Linked DNA regions of Coturnix japonica. The protein of the gene in region 1 interacts with the protein of each later gene in a biochemical or structural test. Links are inferred from orthologs where the notes say so. Each region holds a gene or a part of one and is shown in the gene's direction. Other genes may lie near its edges.

What was found.
Region 2: the proteins of STON2 (region 1) and SYT1 form a complex in vitro, tested with the Homo sapiens proteins (2 studies listed by BioGRID). The link is inferred for Coturnix japonica from reciprocal best matches to the Homo sapiens genes STON2 and SYT1.

What each region holds. Positions count from the first base shown.
Region 1 is NC_029520.1:37,099,170-37,104,405, reverse strand, and holds part of STON2 (stonin-2), read left to right. Parts: intron 1-3,426; coding exon 3,427-3,629; intron 3,630-4,699; coding exon 4,700-4,783; 3' UTR 4,784-5,236. UniProt on the Homo sapiens protein: Adapter protein involved in endocytic machinery. Involved in the synaptic vesicle recycling. May facilitate clathrin-coated vesicle uncoating.
Region 2 is NC_029516.1:35,737,321-35,742,556, forward strand, and holds part of SYT1 (synaptotagmin-1), read left to right. Parts: intron 1-3,217; coding exon 3,218-3,402; intron 3,403-5,236. UniProt on the Homo sapiens protein: Calcium sensor that participates in triggering neurotransmitter release at the synapse. May have a regulatory role in the membrane interactions during trafficking of synaptic vesicles at the active zone of the synapse.

The sequences.
Region 1 (5,236 bases):
GTTTAGGCTGCAGTGTTAGCAAAACTTTGATCTGTGTTTTCTAAGCTTTTGGATCACATTTCAGCCCAGGAACACCATGTTACACCATAGGTTATACATTTGGAGGGATATCACAGACAAAAATGAGGACTCCTTGTATTCTGTAGTATAGGACATAAGAGAGAGAGCTTGGGAACTTATGAAATATTGCAGTGAAAAATTAACTTCGGTCTGTATATGAGCAACAGCCTGCTTGTGAGGGAAATCTCACTATGCCATCTGTATAAGCTCTGGGAATGAGATCCTGTGAAACTGGGCCTTCTGTGGCATCTCCTTTCCAAAGATCTCATCACACCATACCAATGTTTCAGCTGGGAAAACGTAAGCCCCCAGACTTTAACACAATCATGGAAGATGCCTGTAGCAAACCAGGAGAAGAAGCAGAACTCCTGGCTCTGTTGTCTCCTGCAAGGCAATGCTCTCTTACCCACTGCAGCTGCAAGGCAAAATGTTTATCTGTGGCTCTTGCTTCCTTTATCTTGTCCCTCCCAGTGTGAGGCTTCATTACACATGCCCTATGTCAGAGGGAAATGAATCACACTCAGCACTGCTGCTGGCACCCTGCCACAAAGCACCTATCTGTCAGTGTCACAGTGCAGTACACAGTGCTGTAGTATTTGTTTACATCCTGAAAGGAAGAGAGTGTCCTCACTCCTCCGGTCAGGCCAGATGTAATTTCAGAGAAAGGAAGGGCCTTGCAAGCACTGCCTTGGCAAGGACACATGGGGTATATGAGAGGGAGGGAATCCCAAAGTGATGACAGGATAGGTTAAGTGTAGCTTAATTCTGACCTTGGCTCTCAAGGGCTATTTACATTTCTTGACAGTACTCATTCCACAGCTTTCCTTACTCAGAGTACGTGGCAAACAAAGAGGAGTGTACATGGAACCACTCAAGAGTGGTTCCCTGCCCTGAGTGCCAGCTCTGCAGAGCTGAGGATGCAGAGTGGGTCTGTCCTATGCTCACTGCCTGTGCACTGGCTGCAGAATGGCTTGGTAAGGGTTATCTCAGTGGTTTCACTGTCTTAATTAAATGTTTTCTCTTTGTGCATCCTAATGGGATGGGGCCCTTTGCACTCTCACTGTAGGAACTTTTTATCAGCACTGTCTGTATTATTCTGTAGACAAAGCATCTGCTTCTGACTAGAAGTCAAAAAGTGTATGACAAATAAAGGACTGTGTGTACTCTGACTATAATTTGACCTAGAAAACTAATGTGGATTGCATTTTACTGAGCATATTTCTGAAATCATTTATAAAGTAACTTGGTAAATGTTACTGCTAACACAGTCATAGCATTTGACAAAAAAAGGCCTTGCAGAGTTTCACATGCAGCAGTCTGGGCTCCAAGTGTTTCTGTTTTTTATTAACCCACCAGCAGAATGTTAGGAAAACATCCACCAGCCACCAGTCATGGGAAAACATTCCTGGAATGGGTCAGAGCTGTAGCCTCTGAGTGGGGATCTGGATGTTGAACTTGGGTCCAGTTTGGTTGAGGGTCCCCAGCATGCTGCCTGCTGCACCCTCTGCAGTAAATTAAGTCCTGTAATGCAAACATGTTAGGACATCAGAGGGCTTTGGAACAGATTCCCTCCAATCACAGTAAGCCAAGTGTCTACATGAATTACATTAGGAGGTCCACAATGTTCAGAATGGAATGCTAGTAGCACAAGGAAGCAGGAAGCTCAGAAGAGAATCAGTCTGGTGATTTCCTCCTGATTTTATTAGAAATGTGCATTTTTCTGTTGCAGAGGTAGCTCTGAGTGAGCCTGCTGAGCACACACAAGGTGCACAGAAGTTGTCCATTGTGTGCCTCAGGTTACTAATGAACACTGATGTACTCAATATTTCTTTTGGAGGAGGAGTTGCTCTCATAATCTGTTTGCTTGGTTGTCTACCATGCTGATCTGATTTACATTAATAACTTCTGTATTTGTCTCAGCGTTGTGCATGGTCCTTTCTAGTAGTTGGTATTCCTGATGGAAGAAATTAAATAATTGAATAATTACATTGTAAATTGAATGTCATGGTTTTATGATTTTTGGTTACTGGTGTTCCACATCATAACATCACGTAGTGCACTGGGAGTTAAAGTGTTAATGATAATTTTTAAAAATTCAGATATTTCTTACTATTTGAACTAATTCAGCAAAGCTAAATATTTCATGGAATCAGGTTGTTTCTAACACTGAACTACAACTGTAAGCTTTTCTGAAGGCTCTCTGCCTTGATCAGCTTTCCTATAATCAGCCCTCTTATTAAGGACACTGGACATTCTGCACTTCGGAGCCTTGTGTCCAATTCTGCTACAGGTTAACAATGTAGGCTGAAATATTATATGCTAAGTTTGGGGAAAATTTTAAACTGAATTTCTGCTCAAATTGTTCAGTCATTCCAGAAAATGAAGTTAGGAGAAAATGCAGTCTAGGCCATATCTAGCAGTTATCAGAACTAGGGCTGCTGTGCTTTGCACTGGGAGGGGAATATTATTTACTGAGCTTGGGATTTGTTTTCTTTTTTTTGTTTTGTTTTGTTTTTTATAAAACAAATTTATAATGGGATCCCTTCAGTCAGAAATCCCAAAGTGGCTGTGAATGTTCATTCTGCAGATAGAGAAACTGAGGCACAGAACCTAAATGGCTTGCTCAAGAGCTTAGGGGGTTTGTAACAGTCAGAAATGCAGCCAACTTAACTTAGCTAGCAGTTCCTACTTCATTTTTTTAAACATTTCTGCTGTCCAGCAAAGCAAAGGGAAGAATATAATAGCAAAAGTTATCAGTTACTAATGACAGTTATTGATCAGTTACTGATGACTGGTTTCTCACCTTTCCATCTTTAATGACTGGCTATCTAGTGGATGGTTAAGAATGATGAATACATTATTACTTCCAAGATGTGCACAAATATGCTTTTTGAACCCAGGAAAGTTTAATGTTATCCAATATGTTTGCTTTCAAAATAAATGGGGATAATCATTTCAAAAATAACTATGAAATATCTGCCAAATATGCCTTTACTTACTGTCAGCGCATATTTTAGAGGGATATTCCACAGTGTTCTTAACATGTTACATAGACTGAGGTAATAAGAAGAGGGAAAATATCCTTACCTACAGTGGTTGATTTATAACCCACTAAAAGCAAATTAGACTGATTGACAGTCATTTGTTTTGCAGTTCATTTAATTTATTTACTCTGACTAATTAAACTGAACTGAAACTCCAGCATATGGAGCATTGAAACAGATAAGATCCTGACATTTGATGCAAAGTAGTTCACCCAGGCAGATTCTCAGTTTCTTGCTGTTTCACGATGTTGCTTTTACTTAGATGCAATCTTCTTTCAACAAAGCAAGACAGCTTTCATGTCTGTTTGCTCTCTTTTTTAAGCTTCTGGCCATCCACACTGCTTCTTCTGTCACCTAGAGCTTGGCTCTGACCGGGAAGTGCCTTCCAGTTTTGTTCGCCACGTAGATGTGGAATTTGACATGCCCACTACTTCTGCATCCAAAGCCACTGTTCGGTCCATCTCTGTTGAGGACAAGACTGGTGTGAGAAAGTGGGTCAACTATTCAGCACACTACAGTTACAAGGTAAAAATGAGCATTTGTCAGTCACCATGGTTACTTCACATAATTTATTGTCTTGAAAAGTGTAGACAAACAAATGGGAATTTGATACATGTCAAGCTCTGTACAGTGGCTCCCCACATGCAGCCTGCAGATTCATGGCAGACAAGCTGTGTTTTATGGCTCAGTGAAAATATACACTGTGCTTACAGTGACTTTGTGGAAGAGCATGCATACAACCAGTTCCTGGGGAGAAGCTGATAAACTAGGAGTGTGAACAGGGACTTTTTCTATAGTGGGAGTTTTAAAGTGGGAGTACTACTGCAGACAAAAGGATCACATTGCTTCTGTGCTTATAGTTTTTTTTTCTGCCTGCCCTAAGGAGATGAACAGATGGGAAAATACACAATATGTATACCTGCCAAGAATCTCAGTATGACAGACTTGCATGGTAGATGATCACTCAGCAGACAAATAGGCATTCTACCTGCAATGATTGCAAGAGCAATGATGATAGATACTGAAAAGATTCTTGTGGCAAATATTTTTAATGTGAAATGTTATTACATTTTTAGTAGTATCTGAAATTCCCCAGAGATTATATTTGATCTTCCTAACTATCCCTTCTAAGAATTGAACATTTGATTGTCCCTGAATTTTTGGAGGAATTGAAATTTAGAAAAAAGATATCGGCGTGCCTTTTGCAAATGAATCTCTTTGCTTTCATCAGTTGCTTTGCAGAGTTTGAAACTGAGACTAGTCTTCTGCTGTCATGTAAAAAGCCACCTATACTCTGCAGGTTTGGTTCTGGATTTGGATACAAAATACAGATGGGGCTGGGGATGAATGAAAAATGAGACCAATTCTCTTCATGATCTTTTTTCTTCCAGAAACTGTTATGACACCATTGAATCATAAAATTGTTTGGATTTGACTTGAAACACAGTAAATCAAATCTATATTTCCCTCCTCCATCTATTACTCTTTACTATCCTCTCATTTTACTAAGATTTGCATCATCTGAGGAATGAACACTAAGGTGTTTTAAATTTATTGATTTATTCTCATTATCACTGTTCTTTTTCCTCTGCCAGGTAGAAATAGAGCAGAAAAAAAGCTTGAGTGAGGATCTGAAGGGAGAAGATACTGCAAATCTCAGTGAATGTTCCATACAGTGAAGGAATATCAGTGCTCAGGTCCCAAGAGGTGTGGTCAAACTAACAGACTTGGAAGAAAGGACTTAAATATTTTGGTATTTGTCTTTTGAAAGTATGGAGTATTACTTTTAAAATAATGCTTTGAAGAGTTTTATTTTTCCTGTAATTATCTGTGTCTTGAGAAGAAGGTCACCAGTAATTTGTTTGGAGTGGACCCATTGGCTGGAACAATTAAAGTACTTATCACCAATGCATTTGGTGTATTGACAGAATGAGTTGCTTTATAGTCAAGCCTGCCTTTTGTGCTTCTTCACCATCTGGGTTCTGCACTGAACATGCCACCATCACAGCCAAATCTGAAAGCACTCTTCATCTCACAATCTTGCCCTCCTGCAATCGCGTTTTTCCTGTATGTTGCTTGGTTTGGTCATCAGCAGATTCACTTCCTTCTGAACTACCAAATAAAACTGAGGG
Region 2 (5,236 bases), on another chromosome or scaffold:
TTGCTTGTTTCAAAGCACCCCCTTGTGCTGGCACTAGGTAAGACAAATTATACAAGAAGCTTATGGCTGTCTGATACCTCTCTATCACTTGATCAAGATCTGTGTTTTTTATGTCTCCCAAACCCTTTTATCTGCTACAGAGGCCTTTTGTTTAATGGCTCATGTCCAAAGTCCTTCCAAGGTTTCAAAGTACACTGCTGGACCCGATCAAACTGATTGAATATAGATGGAGGTAGCCTTCAAACAGTAGATTCTTACTCTTGATGAACTGGAAAACGAAATTATGTGAACGTTGTATGTGTGGGAAAGTCTAACTAGATTCAAATATTATGAATCTCAGAAGGGAGCCACTTAACAATAATAAGTTCATATACTGTCCATGAAGTTTTTGTATATGTTGTTCACAGTTCATATGCCAAACTATTAAAGACTGTAGTTTTGAGACTTCCAAAGTTACAGTGACTTTAGTCACTTCATTCTGGGCTATCCAAAACTGCTTTTTAGAAATATCTTTTTCTGGAATTCAGGTTCCTCTGGCAGTGTCATGAATTGAGAGGAACAAATACAAAACCCCTCAAAGTTTGTAATAATTTTGGAAAATCTTGCCTAATTTATGTACTAGTGATTAACATTTATTTAGATAATGCTTTTGAAGAGCAACAACCATCATTTCAAAACTAGTGATTACAACGTTTCACTTCTCTTAAATCTAACATGTATATCCACTGCCAGCAATATTAGATTGGGCAACCTCTGTCAGTGGGAGTGTTCTGCTGAGACATCTTAACAGAGACAGCACACTTTCATTGGGGAAAAAAAATCCATTCCTTTTTGTTTTTTCAGACTTGAATATTGAAGATATTTTGGAAAATGTCCTGGTTCTGGGTTACCTCACTTTTTTTATTCTTTATTGCTTATGCTTTCTGTAATAAAAATAGAGCACATTTTCCTTGAGCAGATAAATGAAAGATTCTGTATAATTCTTGGTGTCTCAGATATTAATTTGGCGATCATTTAATTGCATCACAAGAGCTATTGGGTGAAATTAAATTACAAATAGATGAAGGCAGACAATGCCTTATAAAAATAAATAAATAAGTAAAGAGGTATCTGCAAGTGTTTGAAATTCTCCCTAACACACCCTACGTTGTTCATCCTCCAGAGAACCACGGCAACAGTGCCAGAATACCACTTTGCACAACAGCTACAGCATGCAGGCACCTGACTTCACTACCTACACAGGCTTTTTCATCTGTAGCATGCATATTTATATATCCTACGCACATTCCCCGTCTCAGTTCCTTGGTTCTCCCAGCTGAGCTGCATGTGATCTGCTCTGCCTCTCCTTCCTCCCACAGTGCCATCCTGCCAGCAGAATCCCTCCCATGCTCTTGTTGCTCCCTGTGTTGCGTTACGTTGTGCTTTGAGCATTCCTGGCAAGGCAGCAAAACAAATAGCTGATAGGTTTAAGCACATCATTCATTTGATTATTGACATAAATCTTAAGGATTAGCTTAGGTAAAAAATGTAACATACTATAAATACTATATAAAAGGCTATGTGTTTAATGCAGTTTAAGTGCATCAGTAAAGTTTAAATTTGAAAAGGACACATTGCCTGTGAAAGGCTGTGATTTTACATTGGCAAACACTGGGTGAACAGACAAAATTTTGCAGAAGTCAGGTGTGCTATGAAGTGTTGCTGTTGCACCTGATCCGAAGCAAAAATGAAAGCAGCAATGCTTGAAATACGGATTTTAAGTTGTGAGAAGTGCAGATCTAATACAACTTTTATTGCAGAATTCTTAGTGCTGACTCCATAAAATTCATCACATAAACAGCTGTTAATCTGTTCACTTTATCTTTTAACATTCGTTTAGTAATCAGTTCTCATTTGTTCTACATATGGTATAGCTTCTCTTTTATAGCAGCTGCATATAATGAACATTTGGAGGCTCAAAATGTATTACAAAAATTACCGCTTTACATTTTTCTACATTATTTTTGTATCTGTCACCAAGGACTTTTGAATGAAAGTTAGAAATTAAGGTCATTAAACATAGAGTAAGGAAAGTTCAGGTACTTTGTCCTCTTTCTGAACTGATGATTTGTAGTCAAATTTCCTGTGACCGTGCTTCACACTCTGCTTAGTTCCTTTAAGCAATTAATTTTCTCTATTTATACTGTCCATTCCCTTCTGTGATTCACTGACGTCAACATGTCAAATTTGATTCACTTGTCAGTTTTGTTCTGTGTCGTATGAGAGACCTCTCCGTTACACACTCAGAGTAACTTACAGACCTGGCAGACTGAGTGCATTTAGAGATTTTAGTAAACGAGAGTTTAAAATATTTAAAGTATCATCAAGTGTTCCAGTTCAGTGTTGGGATCTGTGGTCATTAAAACTGAGCTGTATGAACATAATTCCCTCCTGGACTGTTTGAGTATCATCTTAACTCCTTTTTCCCAATATTCTGATCTTTTACAAGACCATTTTATCACAGCAAGTGTTCTGTATTGTTTATTCATAATTCAGTTGTGTCCAGATTCCTGGACAGAATGAATAAATTGAACAAATGCTTTTCTTGGTAGGAAAGTGGGGGTGAAAATCTAGCTATGTCCAGCGAGTCTGCTAATATTAGGGTATGATGACTAATAGCACACATGCCCTTGGATTGGCCAGTAGTATGTCCTTGGTTAGTGTTTACTGGTGACCTTGACCTGCACTGTATTGTGAGGATTCTACACAGCAGCAGGCAGAGAAGTTCATCAAAACTGGCTGTTGGATCTGGTGCCATTCTGTAAACAGAAAATTCCTGGTCAGTTCTGCCCAATTCAGCCACAATGCCAGGTGGGTTGTAGAAATGATTAAAAAAAGGAAACAACTGCCTAAGTATGCCGAATATTTTGCAGGTCTGCACGGTGTAAATATATTGGACATACTGTTTTCAGATGGTTGATTTATTCAGAATAGCTGCGAGTTAATTTGATATGTGTCACCGGGCATGTAAATAGATAGATATTGGCACTGTGTGTGCAAAAGCGCGGTTGGGGGAAATATACAAAAGATGACAGAGTGCTTTAGAAAGAATTTCAGACATTTCTGCAAGGCATTTTCATTGCAAAACTTTCAGCTGTAAGAGAAATGTGCTTGTTTCTAAATTTAACCCTACTAACAGTTTACCACCTTCTCTTTTTTGTTTCTTTTTCTCTTCCAGTGCCACCTTGGGCCTTAATAGCCATAGCCATAGTTGCTGTCCTATTAATCCTTACCTGCTGCTTTTGTCTCTGTAAGAAATGCTTGTTCAAAAAGAAGAACAAGAAGAAGGGGAAGGAAAAGGGAGGGAAGAATGCTATTAACATGAAAGATGTTAAAGATTTAGGGAAAACCATGAAAGACCAGGTAAAGTACCTCTCCTTTTCTTCAACTCTTGAGTTATATTTGCAGAATTCTGCCTGACATGTCTAACAAAAAAATGTGCTTGACGCCTTGATAGTGGCTCTGTGAAGAGAGGACTGATAGTCAGCATATTCTCAATAGTATCTTAAAATGTGAATACAGGTATGGCATCACTGATAAAGCAGCCAACCAGTTTCTCTCCTCTGCTAATAAAATGAACAGACTTGTAATGACTCATCTGAAAGGAGAAAGTTTATTAAGAGTATATTGGCTGTGACAGAAATGTAGTAAATGTGTGCAGTTTTCAACAGTCTATTGTCAGGACTTTGACCAAGAGCAAGTATAACATTTATATCTTTCTAGCGGTAGTTCTGAGCACAGGTGATAAACACAGATCTGTACTCTGAATCTCCTTTTACACAAAAGCATAAGGTCAACTGAGAAACAAACAACAGCATAGAAGAGAAAATGAGAGACATATAAACAAAGGAAAACAAAATGAAATTGCATAGAGCATTTGGCACAGTGATGCTAAGAGAATTTATTTTGTGCAAGAGGTGGAGCTTAAAAATAGCAGGATATACTTGTAGCTGTAAGTCAGTGGAGTAACTCGGAGAAATAGATTAGCATAATGCCCTTTGAGTAGTATCATCTTCATGAGAGCAGAAAAACTTGTCCTTTAGATCTGCTTCATTAAAGAGAAGCAAAAGTTGCAGGACCTAATCCTCAGTGCCACAGACTTCAGTAATATGTTCCTGAAATATTATTTTTTTTAATCAGGATTTTATTATTGTCCTTCTTCCTTGCAGTTCTGGTGTTAAAAATTCATAGGTAAAGCTATTGAGAATAAACAGAAGAACAGGGAAATAAATGCAAAGAATTTGTGTGTTCTTTCTGCATTGCCAGATTTCCTAAGCAAAGACAAAGGGCTCTATTTTTCAAACAGAAAGTACTGAGGAGACTTAGAGAATTGCAATCTGAAACCTCTTCAGTAGCTGACAGTAACTGTAAAGATATTATACGTGTCTGTGCTTACAAGATCTTTTGTAAGATTTAGCCAGAGTAATTCAGAAGTGCCTTTTCAGTCAATGAGAAAAGACAAAAGTAAGGAATGTAAGTTCCTCCCATTAGCTGGAATCTAGTGTGTGAGGGAAGATGGGGTTGCAGACTGGTTGATTAGTAATAGAAGACAAATCTGGGAGCCTGAGGAATAGTGCTATCAGATCAAGAGTGAGATCCAGGAAAAGCCTAGAGAAGAGTAGAGTTGTAGGGAGCAGCCCAGCACAAGTGGTGGGATGTCACTGTACCCTGATGGAACAGCCACCAATGGGGCTCATCAGCCAGTCCTCAAGAGGCCTGTTACAGGCTAGCATAGTTTTTCAAGCATGTAAGTCATGACAGGGGAAGAATATCAAAAGCGGGTAAGGAGATCTTGTAATTTTGCTGGCTGGCTGCAACTATTTCCAGTTTCCAAAAGGACAGTTTTTGTTGTTGTTGCTCACTAGATAGCTGCCATTACTGAAATGTCAATGCATTAGGCTGTAGTTCATTTTTCTAGGCTATACACTATACCAATGGAGTAAACTTCAGATGGTGCTCTTGCGTACAGATTCAACCTTGGTTCCACCAGGAGGGAAGATGCTTTTCATGTACAACACTAGTATATTGAATTGCAAAGCTTCAAGTATAGACACAAGGCAAATGTGAATCTGCAAACAAGCTCAGCAGCACACAAAGTCACTAATGTAGATGTACCTGTTTCAAGGTTAGAAAGATAAGTGAGCTTGAACTCAGAAAACAACAGTGCATAAATTTGGCATTTTCCTTTGAAACAGAT